Linked DNA regions of Nothobranchius furzeri. Each later gene encodes a partner of the first gene's protein in a complex. Links are inferred from orthologs where the notes say so. Each region holds a gene or a part of one and is shown on either strand. Other genes may lie near its edges.

Region 1 (11,026 bases):
ATTATTATCTCTGTCAGGGCTGCAGTCCAGCTGGTGTGAGGAAGCATGCTCTGATTAAAGGGAGTACGTGTAGACTCCCAGTCTGCTGTGAGGGGAAAAGATACTGTAGGATGTGTCATAGCCAGGGTAAGTTGACCTGGCTGTGCATTTGACCTGTGGGATCTCAAAATCAGGCCATTCGTGATGTACAGTATATTATAACACTAAAGAAGCTGGCGTGGACAGCTGATTATAGTCTGAGGCTGAAGGTCTTCTCTAAGACAACATTGAGGGTCTCGTCCATTACGGCAGTGCAGGGATATCCAGACATGGATAAAGTAGTTGGTACTGATCAAATTAAAAAACACAAAAACCCGTTAAAGAAAAAGGTCGAGTCAGACCCTTTGTAGAATAGAATAGGACTTGTAGTTGCTTGTCAACACATAGCAGAATGATCCATAACATCTCTGATAAAGGAAGTGTTCTGGGTCCGTACCTGACTGTGCAGTTCCTTGTCCAGCTGACTGATGCCCTGGCCCAGCTTGGCTAGCTGCTCAGCGATGATGGCCTGCTGGATCGCCTGAGCTGCGTACGTCTTCACATCAAAACCACTGGTAAGAAAATCCTCATAGCACTCTGAAAACACAGTGGACATCCTCAGACCCTCAAAAACATATTAGAGATTATGTGTCCACCTTAAGATAATTATAAACGGACATTTGAAAAAAAAAAATCAAGCTTAAATGAGAAAATATTCAGCTTTTTAAAGTAATTGAGACTCAATAAAACAAACACAAGAAAGTTATTTCTACAATCAAAGAGCAACAGAGTGGAAAGATGATTCCCCTCGTTCTAGATCTTCTAGTTGATCCTGGTTACAGGACCTGAGGACTTCGGTTGGAGTTTATAGTTTATGGTGAGTTTATGACACTTTAAGGAACTCAGATTTATTAATGGAGCAGAACATCTGGATGTCATCTGCATAAAATCAATGGAGATTATATAAAATGTATGAGAGTAATCATTTCAGGTTTGTGTTTATTGTAAAAACAGGAGTGGGCCCCAAAACAGAGCCTTGGGGAACCCCACATAGCGGTTTATATGGAAACATTTGAATGGTAATAAATGGACCAGTCAAAACCAGTTCCAGAGACCCTCGCAGGCCCTGTGGATTCAAGCTGCTTTCCGGAGTTTTCCTCTTTCAGAAATTATGTATGATTTGTCAGAAATCCGTAAAAGTGATAATCTCATAATGTACTGTGATATAATGTAAGCAATAAGTCTTTTTTTTTTTGGCTAAGCACGCCCCCTGCCCGCTTGAGCTCTGTGTGTGATGGCTACCAGCCTGGTCAATGGGATGCAGGAGCCACGATCACCCAGCCCTGGTGATCAGCCTGACACCGCCCCTACTCCTCCTCTCTTCCAGGCTGCTGAGGAGCACAGCTGAGCTGAATCCTGCTGATGACCCACACCTAGGATAATAAGGCTGTGCCTTCAGCAGTCTGGGAGGCAGCAGTGCAGGGGTTCTGCTGTCCTCCAGGCCTCATTTTGTTTTCAACCCCTTCGAGTTGAAGGGTTTTAACTTTTATAGTTTTAACTCCGAGTGATCCAGAGGGATCGTTTTAAAGGTCAACTCTGTGATGCAGTTTTATTGACTTTGGTTTTAAAACACCTTCTGTTCCGGTAAAACTTTTAACATAAGTTTTAACCAGGTGTTGTATGTCAATAGATTGTTTTAGAACTTTTATCAACTTTGTGGATTTTGAAACACCTTCTGTTTTGGTTAAACTTTTCATAAGTTTTAACCAGGTGTTTTTAACGTTGGTAACTGCTCTTTTAATGTTAACCTTTTAGAGTTTTTTGTTGTTGTTTTGCATTATCTTAATAATGCTCGCCATCTGTTTGCACTTGTTTTAGAACCTTTTATAACAATTAAACCCATTTTAACGCCACTGTCGCATTTATGTTGCCCCCTCCTTCACATTTTAACACCTCCTGTCAGGGACATAACACGTGCAATAGGAAACTGAGCGCCGACCAGAACTAACCAATAGCGTTAGACTACCGTTTATAGACGCTTCAAATTTAAGGAATACCTCGGCTGATGCAGCATTGATTAACTTTTCACGGACAAGAAAGTCTCTAAAATATAAAAATATGAAAACACAGCATAACATGAGAATAATACTCGTAAAGCAACGTGTTTTAGCTCTGTTTGTCAGCTACAGAAGCACATTTATAAACAGAAAGGTGAAGTCGCCGTCTTAAACAGAACAGCGTTTTTGTGTGATACGCTTGTCGGCCACTAGATGGTGCCATTGGATAAGAGAAATACTCCAGAAGGAGGCTTTAAGGTGCTGTGTTAAACTGTCAAATAGAGCTTAAAGAACGAGTCACTCCCTACAAGAAACTTACTTCAATCCCACTTCATGTCTGAAAAATGCAACAAATGCTGTTGCCTGGCAGACAGAGAGGGCGGAGCCACTAACAAATACACACAAACAGGCACACAACAGCATTGTGACATCATAATGTACTAGGGCTGGGCGATATGGCCTAAAATTAATACGATATATTGAGGATTTCACCTCAATAACGATAAATGGACGATAACTACAGGAATGCGCAGAAACAAAAGTTGTCCACTAGATGGGGCTGTCACATGTATTAGTTGGGTCACATTTTACTGACTCAAGGCAGTAGAGCTTCTTAAAGCACAAGTCACCCCCACCAGAGTATTACTCCACTCCCACTTCCTGTTTGAAAAATGCAACAAAATGCTGTTGCCTAGCAGACCGAGAGGGCAGAGTCGCTAACAAATACACACACACACATACACAGGCTCACAACGACATTGTGACATCATATGGTACTAGCTAACATTCTAGGGTACGTCTTAGCCAATAGCGATGGCATATTTAAATTCAAACGCAGTGCAGTTTTTACCTGACAATGGCACAACACTGACAGTTTTAGGCAGAAAATTGTAATTGTAACTAAAATGCACTAAAGTGCTAAACTATTGACTACACGTGTCTGCAGCATGATTAGACACGCATTCATATAGTTTATCAGAAAAAAACTTGGTTTGGGGGGTGACTTGCCCTTTAAAGGGACATGAACGCTGCCAACCTACACACATTTTTTTATTATCAAATTTATTGACATAGGAAAAATTATCACGATAAGTCAGAAATTTTGATAACAATAAATTTTTGATTTATTTCCCAGCCCAATGTACTAGCTAACGTCATTGTGTACCTCTTAGCCAATAGTGATGGGAGATTTAAATTCAAATGTAGTGCAGAGTTTGCACAACACCCAGTTTTAGGCAGAATTTCACATTTTTAGGCAGAATATTTAAATTTTAACTTAGAGGCACTAAAGTGCCAAAATATTGATCACTCGTGTCTATAGCATGATTAGACACTCATTTATATAGTTTATCAGCAACAAACAGTTGATTTGGGGGTGACTTGCTCTAGCAGACCTGAAGACCAGAACTGGACACCACCAATGAGGACTAAACTCAACATCAACATGTAGCAGCCTGTTTGGTAACATGTTCTCATTGTTCACACAGATAGGTTTAATTAAACCACACACGTGCTGGTTATTTCGCCCGTTCTACTTCCTGTTGTAAATTTACTGAACATGTCTGACTTTAAAAAGCAAAGATGACAGAAACCCTCCATGTTCGCTGCTCCACGGTGCTGCTTCAAAAACAAATCCCTGAATCGTGAAACACGTCGTAATGGTGACATGAAGGAGGTTTAAACGTGTAGCAACTCAACGTAAACTAAACACTGAAGCATAGGTGCAACATTTGTTTTTAAGTGAGTCAGTTACTGCTGAAAAAACGTATTTTACCATCTTTTAGCAGGTTTGTGGACGCCTCTTGTTCCTCCATGTTGGCACTTCCTGATCAGACTTCTTCTGGTGAAATTGGAGCTCTTTCGCCGCTCAGAGGGCGGAGTGTGAACTGCTGCCACAACATCCGGGCACCGATTACACGCAGATCACAGGGATGCGCTACCACCAGCTCTGGGATCCAAATTTTCTGATAGAAAGCAAAAATCAACACTCACCCTCCTTCTACATTTGGTAAAAGAAAAAATTTACAATTGTAGGGTAGGACCCTAAAAGCTTATAGGTTTAATTGTGGATGTGTTCTATCTTTGGATTTATAGATAATTATTTGATTTTTTTAAATCTAATTCAGGATTTAGGGTTTAAATTTCATTTGTTTATTTTATCTTATTTTAGAAGGAATATATATATGGCTACCTCTGTGAATGACTGATTGTGTTGTAAAGCGCCTTGGGGGGTTCCAGGGCTCTAGAAGGCGCTATATCAAATACAGGCCATACCATTTGATTTAATCCCTTTTCTTCCCATCAAAATAAACAGAAACTAGTTTAAGTTATTAAACTGGATAGTAGGCTACATAGCACTTTTTTAAGGTCATAAAGCAGTGCTCTTCAACTCTTGTCCTCGATATCCAGCGTGTTTTTATTGTTTCACTGTGTGGCGATTGCATGTTTCTGTTGGACACTTGTAAAACAGTCCGGATATTGCAATGTAACTCTTAGAGACACTCACTTTTGAACTAGGGATACTAGCACCGAGTGGGAACCCCCCCCCCCCCCCCCCCCCCCCAAAAAAACTACTCTTGAGAGATAAGCTAATATTTATTAAACACATAAATAAACACACACACATCTGGGGAGGGATTTTCACAGACTCTGGCATTCTCCGTTCTCACACCTGAAAGTCGGTGAAGAACATCTGTTTTATTCTGCCAGACCCATAGGTGCTATACTCTTCTCCAAGGCCAGATTAATGCAGAAACAACTTTATTGTATTTATCTATTTGAACTAAATTAATTAATACACATGACCTGCTTAGAGGCTTGATGGTCTTCTGAACTGGTATCAGCCATCAAATCAGGTGTGCTGGAGCAGGGAAACAACTAAAACATGCTGGATGGAAGAGCTCCAGGACCAGAGATTGAGAGAGCACTGCCCTGAAGACACCAGGATGTAAATCATTTGATGATTAATCCATACGTGTTTCTATTTCTACAGTACAGAATATTGCTATTTTTACCTCCACAGACAATGTTATAAATGTGGCAGGGTGGAGAAATGAGGGCCCGGGCGGGATTTGATCCCCAGGCTCCTGGGTGAGAGTCACGCACTCATACCAGTCAGCCAAAAGGACATCCCCTATGTCAAGTAGCCAGGGCACATGATCAATCGTGACACTGTGACAGGACACTCACACTGTCACATACACTGATCCTTGAAATTAAAGTTTTTGAGACATAAACAGCAGACTGAATAAATACCTGATATAATGTAGTAGGTGGATTAGAACCAGACTGGGTTATTTTGTATTTAAAGTGTAAAATCTGGATCCAACAAGCTTATTATGGGTCTCTGACTTCATGGTTTTCTACTGTAGCCTGGCCTGCCATACTCCTCCTCTGTTTAATTCTGCACAGAGTCTGGCAGGCCAGGCTAGTCCTACTGTAGAAAAAAAATGAAATGGGGAATATGAAAAACTGATCAGACTGTTTATAATACCGGGAAAATATGATATATGTATTTTGAGAACTAATAATAATAATAATAATAATAATAATTATTATTATTATTATTATTATTATTACTGACTACATTAATGCATATTCTAATACTGCTGTGTCTAAACTTTATTTTTCCTGCCACTTTATTTCATTCCAAAGCAGCACAATTCATTCCTGCAATATTCCAATTTTAAATCCCAGTTTTCCAGACTACAGCTCAAACAGCTCCCACTCCTTCGCACAGTCATATATGTTCGCCAGAAGAACGGGAATGTTGTATCTCTGTCGAGAACTTTTAATCAGACTCAGCTTTCAGCTGTGTGCGCTTTACCAAATGACTCTGACAATATGGCGGCGACGGGTCGCACCGCACGCTTACGTTACGTCAACTCTTTTACTACACTGTCACTGTGACGCTGCAGTGCACGTTGCTAGTTAGTTGCAATGTTGTAGCTATTAGCACGACAGCCATTCTTTTGCTGGGGGAGAGCCGACATTTGGTCAGAATAACTTTGAATTCTCGGCTGTTAAAAGATTAATTAACAGACAACGGCAGGACGTTACAGCTTTGATAACAACGCGCCAATTAGACGTTTCGTATTCCTCGGCTACTGGTTAGCCGACCTAGCTTGTAAGCCAGCCGTTAGCGACCAGCTAACTCTTCCTCTTTCGGTCTTCTGTCCTCTGTCCAGCTGGAGGAGCATGGCGATGAGACAGACCCCTCTCACCTGCTCCGGTCACACCCGGCCTGTGGTGGACCTGGCTTTCAGTGGAATCACTCCTTTTGGCTACTTCCTCATCAGCGCCTGCAAAGGTGAGTCCTCAAGCCGTCCAAATCCAAGGTGCTGCCCTGCTCAGGATCTTCATTTACCTGTCTCACTCACACAGACTTCTCTCACTTTGGTCCCTGACTTACCTGCGCCTCAAAAGAAACTTTGTAACGATTTATTTCAGATGTCTTTTTTTATGAAAATCCTATCTGCATTACTTGAATCACCTCAGATGTGTTCAGTTCACGATCTGGTTTCATTCTTTGAAGAATCACATTTCTTTCACAACTTTATATAAATACAAATTTGTCATCGTGTAGGAGTTTTCCTCTGTGTTCACCTACTTGTTTCCAAGCAAAAAGTGGAGATAATTTTTACCTGAAAAATTCTCTTCCATTACAAAAAAAAAAAAAAAAAAACAGTAAAATCATCACCATTCGTCTTAGGCTTCCCTTTCTGTCAGAATAGCCATATGACCCTCACCAAGTGTTCTGTCAGGGAGTGAGGGAAACGGGAAGGTGAATACCATGGCGAAAGTAATAAGCTACTGATGGTTACCATGGTGCCCCTAATAAGCCTCTGCTAGCAGCTTTAACATTTGTTGAGTTTGGTCCTCTTTACACATTCTATATAATTTAAGGCAGTGGCTGTTTCTCAGTGCTTAAGAGGACACTGTCCTGCAAGGATTAAAGAAAACGGTTACATGGAACAGACTTATCTCACGTGACCCGCCATCACGTCATGTGACATGTGAGGTAAAGTTAGATTTATATATATGTATAACTAGCCTTTAACTTTTTTAAATTATGTATATATTGGTTAAATTAAATATGTAAGCAAGTTACTACCCGCTTGCCACCGAATCTGCAACTGCAAAGCAACTGACCAACCATAGATAATTGCTTTGAATCTAAAAAAATATTTCAGATATCAGCCTGATAGCTACAATTAGTTGACTTGCATTTAAACTGGAAATTTGCCCCTGAAGTAGCTGCCGGCTCCTGATCCGCCATTCATTTGAAAATACTGTGGTGTATTCTGAGAAATGTTTCAGTCAGAGAAGGCAACAAGACACCTCCCATGTATTCTCAGTCAGTTAGCTAAACGGCGGACAAACGAAGGACAGACGCCTCTGTAGCACATGAACATTGGAACACGTCTTGGCGGTTCCTGATGACGTATCTCTTAGGCAACTGGGCTGGGACCAAGGCATCAAGGCGAGGTTCCTTGACCTTGAGAAACACCCAGTTTCTCAGCTCAGATTAATACAAAACTGATTTTTAACATTTTACACCAGCTGCTTGAAAGCCACTCAATGTCTTGAGAAAGTTCATATTAATGATCTTTTCATGGGAGTTTTAACAAGTACATCACCATCCCCTTCTTCCTTTTGTTAGATGGCAAGCCCATGTTGCGCCAGGGAGACACAGGGGACTGGATCGGAACGTTTCTGGGTCACAAAGGTGCGGTTTGGGGAGCCACTCTGAATACAGACGCCACCAAGGCAGCCACAGCTGCTGCAGACTTCACAGCGTGAGTGGGGTTCAGCTCTCGATGTAGAGATGCATGATTTGAATTTTGTTGGAAAATGCACTTTTTTCTTGTTTTTAACACTCTTAAAACGTTTAGCTGTAAAAACAAGTTGTCTTTTATTAATAATATATTCTCTTTCTACTCCCCTTCACTCACACACTCTGCAAATGTGCGTTTGGACTCATTGAGATTGTTGGACATACATATTTCAAAAAGGAAGTAAACTGAACCACTGAAAAAGAATTTCACTATCCCATTTACCAGACAAATCATAGCTTCTTAACTTTTTTCTTGTTCTTTATGTGTTATCTTAGAAACCTCAAAACAGAAAAATACAGCAAGTCACTTGGTGCAAGTGGTGCACCTAGGTGAAAGAAGATCAACTGTTACAAAATGAAAAAAAAAATACAAGATCACTCACAATCTCCCTCAACCTTGGGCTCCATGCAAGATCTCACCTTGTGTCATAAAAATGATCTTGTTTTCAGAGTAACTCTTAATTTTAACATTTCAGGAAAAAAAAAAAACGTGTTTAAATCATGCTAAAATTCCCACCAGCAGCATCCTCAAAGTCCTGGTGAAGAAAAACGATCTGTTTTGCATGTGTTTTAAAAAAAAAGAAAACCAACCTTTCTTTGTTTCTGTTACGTGTTTTCTATTAAATGTTTAGTTTCATTTATTCGATAAACTACTATACATCTAGCCTAGAATCTAGAAGACAGTCATTTGTCGAAGCAAAATAATTGTGCATATAGGATGGCTTGCCAGGCTACTATAAATCTATAATGGTGAACATTTTGCTTTCCAGGAAGGTGTGGGATGCCGTAAGTGGAGACGAGGTCCTCTCACTGGCACACAAGCACATTGTGAAGTCTGTCAACTTCACTCAGGTCAGTTTTGCTTAGCATCAGCATCCTTCATATGTTAATTCAGGTATTTTACTGCTCATTTTTTTCACAGATGCCTTTGTACACCAACACCAAGATCAAAAAGTGGGAGCCTCCAGGGCTCACACCTATTTTTAGTTACCAAGTGAATAATTTGTTCAACACATGGATTAATCTGATGATTGATTAAACACATCTCCTCAGCTAATCATTGTTCACATCCTTACAAAATAAAACACTTGTGGGTTTCTTTTTCTATTCCACAGGACAGCAACTGTTTGCTAACAGCAGGAAATGACAAGCTGCTGCGTATTTATGACCTCAGCCAACCTGAAGCACGTAAGGCTACACACTGCTGGCTAGAAGGCGGGGCCAAACACTTCTGAACAGGTCATAGACATCAGATTGCTGTGTTTAGAGTTACTATGGGTTTTAATTAAAGAAATATGGTTTACACTAATCATAAACATTAGTGGAGTTACTTACCCACCCACTCAGTCACACACACACACGCACACCAAAAGAATACTAGATGTGAGCCAACACTTTTTCCTTTAACACTTGTGTGTTTGTTCCAGCTTCACAGGAGATTGCAGGTCACAGTGCAGCCATAAAGAAAGCTCTGTGGTGTAACAATGACAAGCAGATCCTTTCTGCTGCTGACGACAAAACCATTCGGTTAGTTTTTCTCCTGGATGCTTTGTAGAAATCTGATTTCTTTGTCCCGCTTTGGTGGCAGTTGTTCATGTTGACCTTCTGACAGTTTGGATCATATAAACTCTGTGTGTGTGCCCAGGCTGTGGGACAGGAGCTCCATGCAGGAGGTGAAGATGCTGACCTTTGAGACGTCTGTGAGCAGCATGGAGTACATGGCTGATGGGGAGTTGCTCGTGATCACCTATGGGAAGACGATAGCTTTTTACAATGCTTTGAGGTATGCAGTCAGATAGAGGTTGACTGATGTATTGGGTCAATATTTACCATTTGTAATACATCAGCATCAAGCAATATACCTTCTTAGTAAAGCCAATTTAGAAAGAAAGTAAGAAAACAATCTGTTATACAGTGCCTCTCAAGATAAAAATCGTGAAAAGCTTCACAAAAACACACAAAAAATTTAAGTGTTAAGTATAAAAAATATTTTAAAAAATGATTCAAAAAATGTTTAAAATGAGAAAAAAAATTGTGATTAAAAAAAGAAATGTAAGAAAAGGGAGAGAGAGAAAATCAATAGGAAAGAGGTAAATCAGTGGATCGCGGGAAAGGCAAAATTAGAGCAGAATAAGGAGAGGGTGGTGACAAAGGTCTTACAAAAGCCAGGTTATTACCCCTGAGGTAACCCTTTTCTAACCCAAATATCAGGTCATGTAAACTCATATCGGGATAACCCTTTCAAAAGGTGCGCTCTGCGCATGTTCTATTCACAAGGAATCTTGGTCTTTTGAGTAGATCAGGGGTCGGCAACCTTTTCCAATCAAAGAGCCATTATTACTTGTTTCCCACAATAAAGAAAACACTGGGAGCCACAGCGGCCGTGGCATTGTGGGCGTGCCTATCGGGCCTAAGCAGGTCAAACATGTCTCCTTTTAAAACATGTTTAAACTGCTCAGAATACAAATCCAGGCTCTGTCCCTTTGGATTGTTGTAATTAAACTTTGTACTGAACGAAACTTTATATTAAACAATGTTGAAAAGGATCTGATCAATTCGGTTTTTTTCCCCTCACTTACAGTGAAGGAGGTAACGGCACAGTGCACAAGACTCTGGTGTTAATCAAGTTTATTTGTTTCTCTTTGCAACAATCGTCGCAATAAGGCAAAACAGTTAAATGGCAGCGTTCACATTGACCGGATATTTCCCATATTTGACAGTTTATTTTAATGGAGAAACCTCAAGGCTGTTGGTCGCTTTGAAGGACACGTGCAGATGCACTGACATTTTAATCATTAAGCACATTGCCGAGGTAGCTAAATCGATTAAGAAAAGATTCCCATCAATTCAAAGATACTTTATTAATCCCAGAGGGAAATTAGAGTTTCAGTACACACAATTCAGAGATCAGACATGCATGGGCAAGACACATGACAAGAATTGGTGACTGGTCATTCGCAACCCTGAGTCACGCTACCTTAATAGAGATCAGAGGGTTACATGAGGATTGGTTCAGGTGGAGGGAAAAAAGGCACTTCAGACCTACACTCCACCGGGAGGGCAGCTTTGCTCTGCAAAAAAAAACACCTCAGACAGAAATGCAACAGACTTCAGA
Region 2 (10,894 bases), on another chromosome or scaffold:
GATAATCATTAACATCCTGCTTGTATCTGCTCGCTGGTCAAAGGTTCGGGTTTCACTCTAAAGCGTCACTCAGAAAATTCTAAAAGTCACATTTGGCTGCATTTAGAAAGAAAAAATTTGGTTTTTGTGGACGAAAGGTAGAACATCTCTGTGGACTTAGAACTTTGACAGGCTTGTTGGTGCCTAAAAATGTGGATACCAAAAATGGATCATGCTTATGAAGTCACTGCAGGACATGTACCACTTGGCAAGCCGTTTAGACATATATTAAGACAGGCTGGATATGTATTCTGGATTTCTACAAATCTATTGTTTCTGGTAAAAATAAACATCCCGGATATCCATAACATACTAACCAAAATGAAAACTGTGGCAAACCTTTAAAACATTTAATCAACAATCGGACCTCTTTGTAATTCCCATTTTAATAAAGAAAGAAAGAAGGAAAACAATTTTATTTAGCGCCTCTCAAGATAAAAATCACGAGGTGCTTCACAGAACAAAAAATTCAAATATAAAAACGATTTATTAAAAAATTAAAAAAATATATTTAAACTGAGAAAAAAATTGTGATTAAAAATAGGGAAGGGGAGAGAGAAAATGAATAGGAAAGAGGGAAATCAGTGGACCCCGGGAGAAAGAGCAGAACAAGGAGAGGTTGGTGATGAAAGTCATGCAAAAGTTAACTTGAACAAGTGAGCTTTCAGCTGCTTTTTAAACCCCAAAACATTGCTTTACTTTCTTTTTTTTTTTTGTATTTCTCCTCCAACCCTCATAACTCTCTGTGTGTCCTTCTACGGCAAGCCCGAAGTCCAACAGACATCGATAACAACACAATAGCCTCCCGGTCCTCTGGTTTATTGTACTTGAAGGTCCGACATGTTGCTACCAGACGTAGCGTGAGCAGTCAGGTCGCAGGAAGTCGTACAGTTTGAGTTGGAGCTGAATGCTACGAGTGAAAAAGTCGCACATTGTATACCTGGCTATAGAGATCAACGACTCCATGGTGGGGTAGGAAGGAGGGTATTCATGGGTAGTTTCTGCTCGTTAAGGAGCAAGTCACCCCTACCAGAGTCTTACTCCTCTCCCACTTCCTGTTTGAAAAATGCAACAAATGCTGTCGCCTGGCAGGCCAACAGGGCGGTGCCGCTAACAAACACACGCACACTCAGGCCCACAACAACATTGTGACATCATAATGTACCAGCTAACTTCACGTGTATCCCTTAGCCAATAGCAATGGCAGATGTAAATTCAAATGCAGTGCAGAGTTTTTACATGAAGACGGCACAACACTGTCAGTTTTAGGCAGAATATTAACATTTTGACTAAGATGCACTAAAGTGCCAAATTATTGGCTACACGTGTCTGCAGCACGATTAAACACTCATTTATTTGGTTTATCAGCAAAAAAAAAAAAAAAAAAAGATGATTTGGGGTGACTTGCTCAGCTAATTTATAAACTTGACTCTCCCATATTCCAGTCAGAGCTAACAAAGCTCTTCGGATGTCCAGGTGCCTTCATTTGAAACCCTGGGACAACCATGACCTGGATTATGGCTGTGCGTTACCGTGGCAACGAATCTTCGCCATGTCGATGGGTTGAACAAATAATAACATCAGCTACGCAGAGGCTCTGAAAAGGGCTCAGAATGGAAAGGATGAGGAAAGAAAAGTTCAAACAAAGTCGCCATCTGATTTTGTGCAAATACAGGAACCTCACGCAGGATTGACAGCAGAGGAGATGATTTTGTTTACGGCGTATGTCATAAACTGTACGGATCAAGTGAAGCACAAAACAGAGAAAATAAAAATGATTGTGAAAGGAGCAGAGAGGTTTTTTGGCATTAAAGACGTTTCGTGGGAACATGTCATTAAAAGACTTGGGGAGGAAGGGAAAGCGGGAGGTCCTGGTGACAGGACAGCATGATTATAATGGAATGCCAGAAGTTTGATTGCAAATGGACAGGAATTTAAGGGATTTATCGATAAATGCAAAATAAAACCAGAAATAGTATGTTTTCAGGAGACATGGCTAAAACCTAATTTAGATTTTGTTATTGCAGGTTATGATTGTATCCGTAGAGACAGAAGGGAAGGTAACGGTGGAGGGTGTATAACTTTAGTGAAACAAGGAACTCAGTATAGACCTGTACATGTAGGATCTCAGCTAGAATACATAGTAATTGAAGTCTGGTCCAGTGATTGTAATATTAAAGTAATCCATTTTTATAATCCAGGCAACAGAATATTGAATATAGGTGAACAGTTAGAGGGAAAAGTTATTTGGTGTGGGGACTTCAATGCACACAGTTCCTTGTGGGGCAATAGCAATGACAGGAATGGGGCAGTTATTGAGGAACTGATGGAATCAAAAAATTATGTTTGTTTGAATGATGGAAGTGGTACGAGAATAAATATTAGAGCTGGTACAGAATCGGCGATTGACCTCACATTAGTGTCAGATTCATTAGCAGGTTTTTGTTCATGGCGGGTAATTAAAGAAACAACTATTGGTAGTGACCATCATCCCTTACTGACTGAACTTGAGATGAATATAGAACAATGTGATACAGGAATTGTACAAAATTGGTGTTTTGGTAAGGCAGATTGGGAAAAATTTAAAATTATTTGTGACCAGGAAATGGAAAAAATAGATATGAATGTTGATGTTGAAGCATTGAATTTTTCTGTTTGTAATGCAGTTTTGAAGGCTGCAAATCAGGCAATAAAGAAGAAAGAAGATAGTACCCTGGTGGACAACGGATTGTGATGAAGTTATTAAGGATCGAAGTAAAGCTTTTAAAAATTTAAGGAGGAATCAAAGTTTTGTTAATTATATGGAATACAAAAAAGTACAGGCTAAGGTAAGACGAACTGTTAAAATTGCAAAGAAAGAGTATTGGAGGGGCTTTTGTAATTCAGCGGGGAGGGAGACAAAATTACAAAATGTTTGGTCGATGATTAAGAGAATGAATGGCATAAGAAAAGAGTATGGATATCCAATATTAAACGATGGTGAAGTAACAGCAGTAAAAGACGAAGAGAAGGCAAATTTGTTAGCTAAGACATTTGTTAAAATTCATTGTTTAGATAGTGTTAGTGAAGAAGGTCAAAGAGGCAGGGAAAATACGTCTCTGGAACATATAGAGTTATTGGAACAGGATGAAGATACTGATAACTTGTTAAATATTTTATTTACAAAATCGGAATTAAATCGAGTTTTACAAAAATCCAAGGTATCAGCACCAGGAAAAGATCAGATTTGTTCTATTATGATACACCATTTTAGTACTAAAGCTAAAGAAATTTTATTGGAACTATGTAATAGAGTTTGGGAGGGTGGGGTATTGCCACAAAGCTGGAAGGAAGCAGTGGTTGTACCCATACCTAAACCAGGAAAAGATAATACCGATCCAGGAAACTATAGACCTATAGCGTTAACATCTAATATTTGTAAGATAATGGAGTGCATGATAAATGAAAGATTATTGTACTACATTGAAAGTAAGGGTTACTTGTCTAACTATCAGAGTGGTTTTAGAAAAGGAAGAAATACGATGGATCCTGTTTTGTGTTTGGAACATGAAGTTAGGAGGGCACAAATAAACAAAGAGAGTGTAGTTGTTGTCTTTTTTGATATTGAAAAGGCTTACGATACAATGTGGAGAGAAGGCCTTTTAATTAAGATCAAACAAATGGGTATTGATGGATGAATGTTTAAATGGATCAAGAACTTTTTAATGGGACGACAAATTCAAGTGAGAATTGGGAAGATTTTGTCTGAAAAGTTTCCCGTGAAAAATGGTACACCGCAAGGTAGTATCGTGAGCCCATTATTATTTTCTATAATGATAAATGATGTTTTTAATGGTATAAAAGATGGGATGGGGTTTTCACTTTTTGCAGACGATGGGGCAGTATGGTATAGAGGGAAAAACGTAGAGTTTATTGTAAAGAAACTTCAAGCAGCAATGGGCAAGGTGGAGGAATGGTCGTACAAATGGGGTTTTAAATTCTCGGTAGATAAAACTAAGACGATGTTCTTTACAAGGAAAAAAGTAAGAGAGGATCTTAAACTTGAATGATATAGTCAAGAGTTAGAAAGGGTACATAAATTTCAATTCTTGGGTGTATGGTTTGATGAAAGGTTAACTTGGGGTGTACATATTCAGAGTATAATGGATAAGAGTAAAAGGGTTCTAAATATAATGAGGTGTTTAGTTGGGAGTGAATGGGGTGCAGACAGGAAATCTATGAAGGCCATATATAATGGATTGATCAGATCAGTATTAGATTATGGGTGTGTGGCATATAATTCAGCAGCAAAAACTACTCTTTCAAAATTAAATTCTATCCAGAATCAGGCACAGAGACTCTGTACTGGAGCATTTAAAACAACCCCAATAGCAGCGTTACAGGTAGAGACGGGTGAGATGCCAATAGCAATCAGACGAGAACGAATAGCTTTAAATTATTGGGCAAATCTTCAGGGTCAGGAAGAAGATCATCCAACACGAGACATACCAAAACCTTGCTGGGAGAAAGAAAAGAAGGAAACAACAAGTTTTGGATGGGTGATGATCAAAAAACCAGTAGAACTTAAATGAGATCGGTTTACAATCAGTCAAAGAGTTCCATTACCTGCTGTTCCGCCATGGATTCTTCCTGAGGCGTCTGTTGATTTATCATTATTAGAGAGAAAGAATATGGATAAGTCTTTCATACTAAACTCACATACAGCACAGGATTATATCGATCACTATTATAACTATGTAAAAATTTATACAGATTCTCGCAATCCTGTTAGCAGTTCGATGGGTGGAAGAAAACAGACCATTATTCTCAGTTATTTGTTCAGACTCCAGCTCATCATTAACCAGTTTAACGTGCAGCCATTCAGGAAGCAGACCAGACATACTCCTAGAGATTCAGCAAACACTTTATAGAATAAACACGATGGGACTTAAAGTACATTTTTTATGGATTCCAGCTCGTTGTGGAATCAGTGGAAATGAAGGAGTCGATAAGATGGCTAAGGAAGCTACAATAAATACTTCGGTTCAGTTAGATGTTCGATTTTGTCAGAAAGAGATGAAGAGCATAAAAAGGCGAGAAATGAAGAAAAAATGGCAAAAACAATGGGAGGAGGAAAGGAGGGGAAGATGGTTGTATAAAATTCAAAGAAGAGTAGGAGAAATAAGAAACACTGGAAGGAGTAGGAGAGAGGCGGTGATCATTTCTAGACTGAGGTTTGGACATACTGGGTTAAACAATACGTTATTCATGATGGGGAAACATAATACAGGGAAATGCGATTATTGTGGAGAAGAAGAAACTATAGTTCATGTTATATTACAATGTCGGAAGTATCAGGCAGGAAGAAGGACATTGATTCAAAATCTTAGACAGATCAAAGTGAAACTAGACCGACAGAATTCAAAAAGCGACTGTTTTCTGATTTTATTTCAGTTTTTAAAAGAGATAAGGATGTTTGGGAGAATTTGATGTATATATGTATTTGTATATATATGTGTATGTATGTGTGTGTATATATATGTATTTTTTTGTTCTTTCTTTCCCGTGTTTGATTTTGTTTTATGAGCGCTGTTCCAGACCACACTCCACACCAGTTGGTGGCGGTAATGCACCATTCGTTGTTCGCCAACCGCCAATAAAACACCAGAAGAAGAAGAAGATGGCGACTGTGCTGTAGTGAAACTTGCGTGTTTTTCATTACCTGATTCGGTTCCGCTGTTCTTTTACTTTATTAGAACATGAAGTCGGACGTGGAGGAGTTAATGCCGAGGCTCCTGCCGCTGGAGACCGGAGGCGGGAGCGGAAACCTGGACTTGAGTGGAACCCCCAGAAACCCCCAGGAGTACCTCCGACAGGTCCAGTATGTTCGAGCCGAACCGTCTCGAGAATCAGAACCATGTTCGACCACGGAGCTTTATAAGTTTGGTGTTTCATTAGGTTGGAGGCCTCTTTATGCCCGGAGGTGGTCGTTGCTCAGATCGATCCCACAAAACTGAAGAAGCAAACTGTTAATGTGTCGGTAAGTGACACACACACACACACACACACACACACACACACACACACACACACACACACACACACACACACCACATGTTTAACATGTTTTGGTTCCAGGTAGCAGGATGTCATGCTGCTCCTCAGGGCTTCTCCCCCAGCCTCAGGTGGCAACAGCAGCAAGTCAGTAACTTCTCTGACGTCAGACAGGTGAGACTTCACAGTAACACACGTTACGAACATGTCCACACAGTAACACACGTTACGAACATGTCCACACAGTAACACACGTTACGAACATGTCCACACTGGACAGTGTCCTTTAGTCACTTTTGTTTCTCAGAGCATCACCAAGAACAGGCAACACTGGAGGAGCCAAATTCTGGATGACAACGTGCAGATGGTGAGATTTTTATTCACTACTCAAACCGAAATCAGCATTCTTTCAAGGGGAGACAGAAATCCCATGTTAAGGTGGATTTGAAGCACCTGTAAGAATCTTGTCATGCAGCATCACACTGGAGGTTTGGTTTATGCAAGCTTGACGCTGGTGTCTTACAGCCGAGGCTGACCGATGAGGAGGGCTGGAAGAGGTTTTGTTTAGGGGAGAACGTTTATCAGGGAACTTCATCCGGCCCGACGGATGCACACCAAGAACCAGCATTGGACTACGGCAAGGTTATACAACTGTTTACACCTTATTGCCTTTGTGAGCGCTTACTCCTCAGAATGAGTTTACCTGATTTAAATCGATCAAAGCTGAGATGTTTCCACATTCTACTTCTCCCACAAAAGCAAACAATCTAAACAGATAAAGTGTATTTATTTAATCCTTTGATGATCCGCCACTCATGAAAATTCTGTGGCACCTTCATGAGACCAAGGAAGTGAAGTCTCACTGATGGTTTGTTTGGGTCTAGATTGGCTTCCCTCCCTTCCTGAGCATCGTAAGCAGACTAAACCAGGTAAACGGGGGTCTACGATGACATCCATGTTGTTTTTAGCCAGTTTAACAGTCTTAATATTTTTGTCTCAGTCCACAGTTCTCATGTTGTTAGATGTTCTGATCAGCTGGTTTGAAGAGCGAGAGTTTGTTCCACAGCTGGTGAGTTTGCTTCTCGTCTCCAGCTGGTTGACAACAAATCTAATGCTAGTGGAAATATAGTTTTTTAAATTTTCGCACGAAAATAAATTGTTAGAACTCCAGGGCCCTCATTCATCAAACAAACTTATGCACAGATCTGCACGTAGGAACAGTTTTACACACTGCATACATGTAGCGACATGAATGGCCATATTTGTGACCCAAAGGTCACACTTCCCCAGCTAGGTCACGCTGTCCTGGCTGAACTTCTGTCCACAGATTATCCATCACAGGAGACGCACAGTCTTCTAGAACCATCTTTAATCTGACTGCCTTTAATCTGTCTGCTGTTCCATCCTAAGATGAAGGACACTTCAAGATTTAAAATAATCATTTTTAATAAACTCTTTTCACTGTTTATTACAAGGTTCATAAATAATCATCACGGTTCATTATAAATGTATTTAATTACTGAAATGAATTATTATTCTTTGGTTAATAATTATTATTTATGATAATCAGTAATGTTTACCAGTGTAAAGAAGGTCATGTACACTTATACACACCATGCAGGACACTGAATTCAGGGTAAAGGTAACCACCTCACATGTCTTTGCTCCATAACCAAAGCTTTCTATCTCTGAGAGGGCGTGTTCTGAGTTTTAATAAAACCCAAAACTCCTCAGTTCAAGCTGACAGTTCTGAACCAACCAAAACCTCTCCGTGGCACGAGAGTCCCAGAGGACAAGGGTCGGCCGCCCGAAGCCTCCACTAAGCTGTTCTGTCACGCTGATAGAATCGCTCCGAATAAACGCCACCTGCACCAGCTGACACAAAACTCCTTCAGAGTTAAGACGCAAACTCAACACCTGTGTGCCAGCGGCAACTCTTGGACCAGAGAGTCGGTACCACTCGCGCCTTCCCTACCGGACCGAGTACCCAGAGGCTGACAACATCCTTCCTTGACCTCCGGATCCACACAGAGGGTCGCCTGATGGGTGAGGTAGAACACAGATTGCGTCTGATGCTGTCATCTCTAAGAAACAACTTAGTTAGCTGCAAAACAAACTCTTTCACCCAGAACGCGTTTCTCTCTGAAAGAAACCTTCTGAGATTCCAGTCACACATCCAACACACGCATTTCATTTTAGCTTTCATCCAGACACAGGTTTGCTTTTAATACCAAGTTTTAATATCAAAGCTGTTATAAATTGTCATCTTTAAATTGTTCGTTATAAATTCTTAACTTTTTAAACCTGACTCTTCTTTGAAATGAAACACAGAATGGTGTAAATTTGGTTATTGAACGAGCAAAGATTCCTTTAAATATTCCGATTTAATAAATAAACTTTTGCTATTAATTTAAATCTCTTAAATTAAATATTAATCTTTGGATTAAATATAGACCAAGCCCGTTGGTGTATGAACTTCTATCGATTATATAAATATCCTGGATATTTATACATAAGTTTCATTTGCTAATTTGTTTGATTTTTCTCAGCATTTAGCCAAGCTGATAGCAAACCGCGTTAAATTCTAGTATGTAGATTATCTACGCGACATAAAAATGTTCCTAAGTACAAGAACGTCTCTGTTCTTGTGTACAAACAGGACCGAGAAATCACAAAACCGAAGGTATTACTTATCTACGCGTTCCTAACAGCAACGTTTGGTCCTCACTCTCGTTAAAGTTACTTGTTGCTCGTTCTTGTGACCAAATATGGTTAACTGAGGGCGTTTCTGTATGTGAATGAACACACGGGCACCTGGGTGGGGTGGTGATGGAGACACCAGTGGCGCCAGCGTACGGCAGCCTTGCCTCTGTCTGTGTGACCCAGGGCAGCTGTAGCTACAATGTAGCTCATCACCATCAGTGTGTGAATGTTTCTGTGCACGAGTGAATGTCTGTTGTGTTGTAAAGCACCTTGGGGGGTTGTAAAACTCTAGAAGGTGCTATGTCAATTGCAGGCCATTCACGTGGGATTTCTCCACAGTGGGTTGCCAGGGAACACGAGTATGGCCGTGCTTCATAAATCAGGAGATTGTCCGTGTGAACCAACATTTCAAATATCATTCTTAGGACGGAATACAGGAGATTCTGTCGACGTTTGATGAATGAGGTTCCTGGTTTTCCTGATTATGAAATTCCTAACGCTGCTTTTCCCAAAAGGGTTGTTGGTTGTACGCTTTACTGGCCTGCTTAGAGAAACCGTTGCTGCCTGAAGCGCACTCCTCCATCCGACAGCTGGCTAGACGGTGCGCCCAGCTCCGCAGCACTCTGGTATGATGGAAACCCGAGTGTCCTTCAGGATTCTGACGGCGTATTTTATTGTGACGTCTGTAATGATTAAATTCTTCCAACAGGATTGTCAGGAGAATGAGAATCTGCCTGCTCTCAACCTACTCATCTGTCTGGTTGCTAGGTGACTCCAATAATGTCTACATTACCCATAAAATCAACAATGCAGCTGAAGTTAGAGCCTGAAATCCTGCGACTCACCACCTCTCGTTTTTCCTGCAGATACTTTGAGCAGAGTGATCTGGCAGACCAGCCGGAGTAAACACGAAGCCGAACCACCAGGGGATGTGGCTCGTGGCAGCAAGACTCGTATGAGGAAGTGTGTGTGTGATATTTTTGTAAAGCTGAAACTTCGTATTTGTGGATTAAATTTATGATTCTTATTCTTGGTTTGCTTTTGTGGTTTTACAAGCATCCTGAATGGCAGGAAACATGGAACTAGTGAAAACCAGTGTTGTGTTGGGAACGTCACTTTTAAAAAGTAATTATTTTGTCAAAAAAGTAACTAAGTTACTTACTGAGTTAAAAAATTATAAAAGTAACTAATTACCAACAAAAATAACTTTCATTACCTTTTTTCATTAAAGAATGCAAGAGAAATGGGTTCCCCTCTTAAACTTCATTTACTATAAATTTCAACAATAATGAAATATAAATGACTGGAACATAAAATGTTTTCTATAAAACAATAATTAAGCACTTAACAGGAGGAACGACAAACAGGAACATTACACTAATCCAGACTACTAAAACATCACTGCGATATTTAACAAGACCCTAATCAGCTAACATTTATAATTGCAAATAGAAGCACCTGTAAAGGTTCCTGAGCCTTTACATGGTCTCTCAGTCTAGTTAAATTACAGAAATGTAATTTTGCACAGTATTTTAATTTTTCCAGCTTAACATAATTGCGTATTTTTAGCAACATTTCTGCTGCTGCTAATTAGTAATGGTTAAATAAAAATCCTTTAAAATGACACTAGAAGAGGCACAAGCCTGATGGAGGACTTACATTTACTAACGTGGGTCAGACCCAACCACAGAAGAGCTGAAGCTGGGTGGTAAACACACACAGGTAGCTCTGATAACACCTGAGCTCCATGACGTCTCAGACTGATGCATCAGTGTTACAGCGGGACTAAAGACGTGATCAGAAACAGGTTACAGCTGGATGATCTAGGAAGGTAGAAGATCAGGACGTCTGAGCAGGTGAGCGGACCTTCGGGACGTCCCGCTGTCACATTCCTCGTTCTTCACGAGCCATGATGCTCTTGGATGAAAACAGCCACCTCTTTAGATCTCAATCAGCTGATGTCGGCTTCACCGCCGCGCTGCTGAATCAGCAGCGCACGCATTTTCTCAACAGTAACGGAAACAGCGTTATGATAAAAGATGATAATTAATGACTCGTTACTGAAAAAAACTACTTTTAAGTAACGCCGTTATTCCCATCTCTGGTGAAAACATACATT

What was found.
Region 2: strap (region 1) and gemin2 share a complex: the UniProt entries of both Homo sapiens proteins name them as parts of the SMN-Sm complex. The link is inferred for Nothobranchius furzeri from reciprocal best matches to the Homo sapiens genes STRAP and GEMIN2.

What each region holds. Positions count from the first base shown.
Region 1 is NC_091741.1:63,711,955-63,722,980, forward strand, and holds the start of strap (serine-threonine kinase receptor-associated protein), read left to right. Parts: upstream 1-5,977; 5' UTR 5,978-6,272; coding exon 6,273-6,384; intron 6,385-7,737; coding exon 7,738-7,873; intron 7,874-8,681; coding exon 8,682-8,763; intron 8,764-9,026; coding exon 9,027-9,099; intron 9,100-9,338; coding exon 9,339-9,438; intron 9,439-9,556; coding exon 9,557-9,694; intron 9,695-11,026. Other genes in the region: cog5 (conserved oligomeric Golgi complex subunit 5), read right to left, coding at 476-615, 3,850-3,889. UniProt on the Homo sapiens protein: The SMN complex catalyzes the assembly of small nuclear ribonucleoproteins (snRNPs), the building blocks of the spliceosome, and thereby plays an important role in the splicing of cellular pre-mRNAs.
Region 2 is NC_091758.1:40,477,887-40,488,780, reverse strand, and holds gemin2 (gem-associated protein 2), read left to right. Parts: upstream 1-5,656; 5' UTR 5,657-5,777; coding exon 5,778-5,899; intron 5,900-5,976; coding exon 5,977-6,058; intron 6,059-6,156; coding exon 6,157-6,246; intron 6,247-6,352; coding exon 6,353-6,439; intron 6,440-6,597; coding exon 6,598-6,714; intron 6,715-6,956; coding exon 6,957-7,001; intron 7,002-7,072; coding exon 7,073-7,141; intron 7,142-9,290; coding exon 9,291-9,401; intron 9,402-9,484; coding exon 9,485-9,543; intron 9,544-9,641; coding exon 9,642-9,681; 3' UTR 9,682-9,802; downstream 9,803-10,894. UniProt on the Homo sapiens protein: The SMN complex catalyzes the assembly of small nuclear ribonucleoproteins (snRNPs), the building blocks of the spliceosome, and thereby plays an important role in the splicing of cellular pre-mRNAs.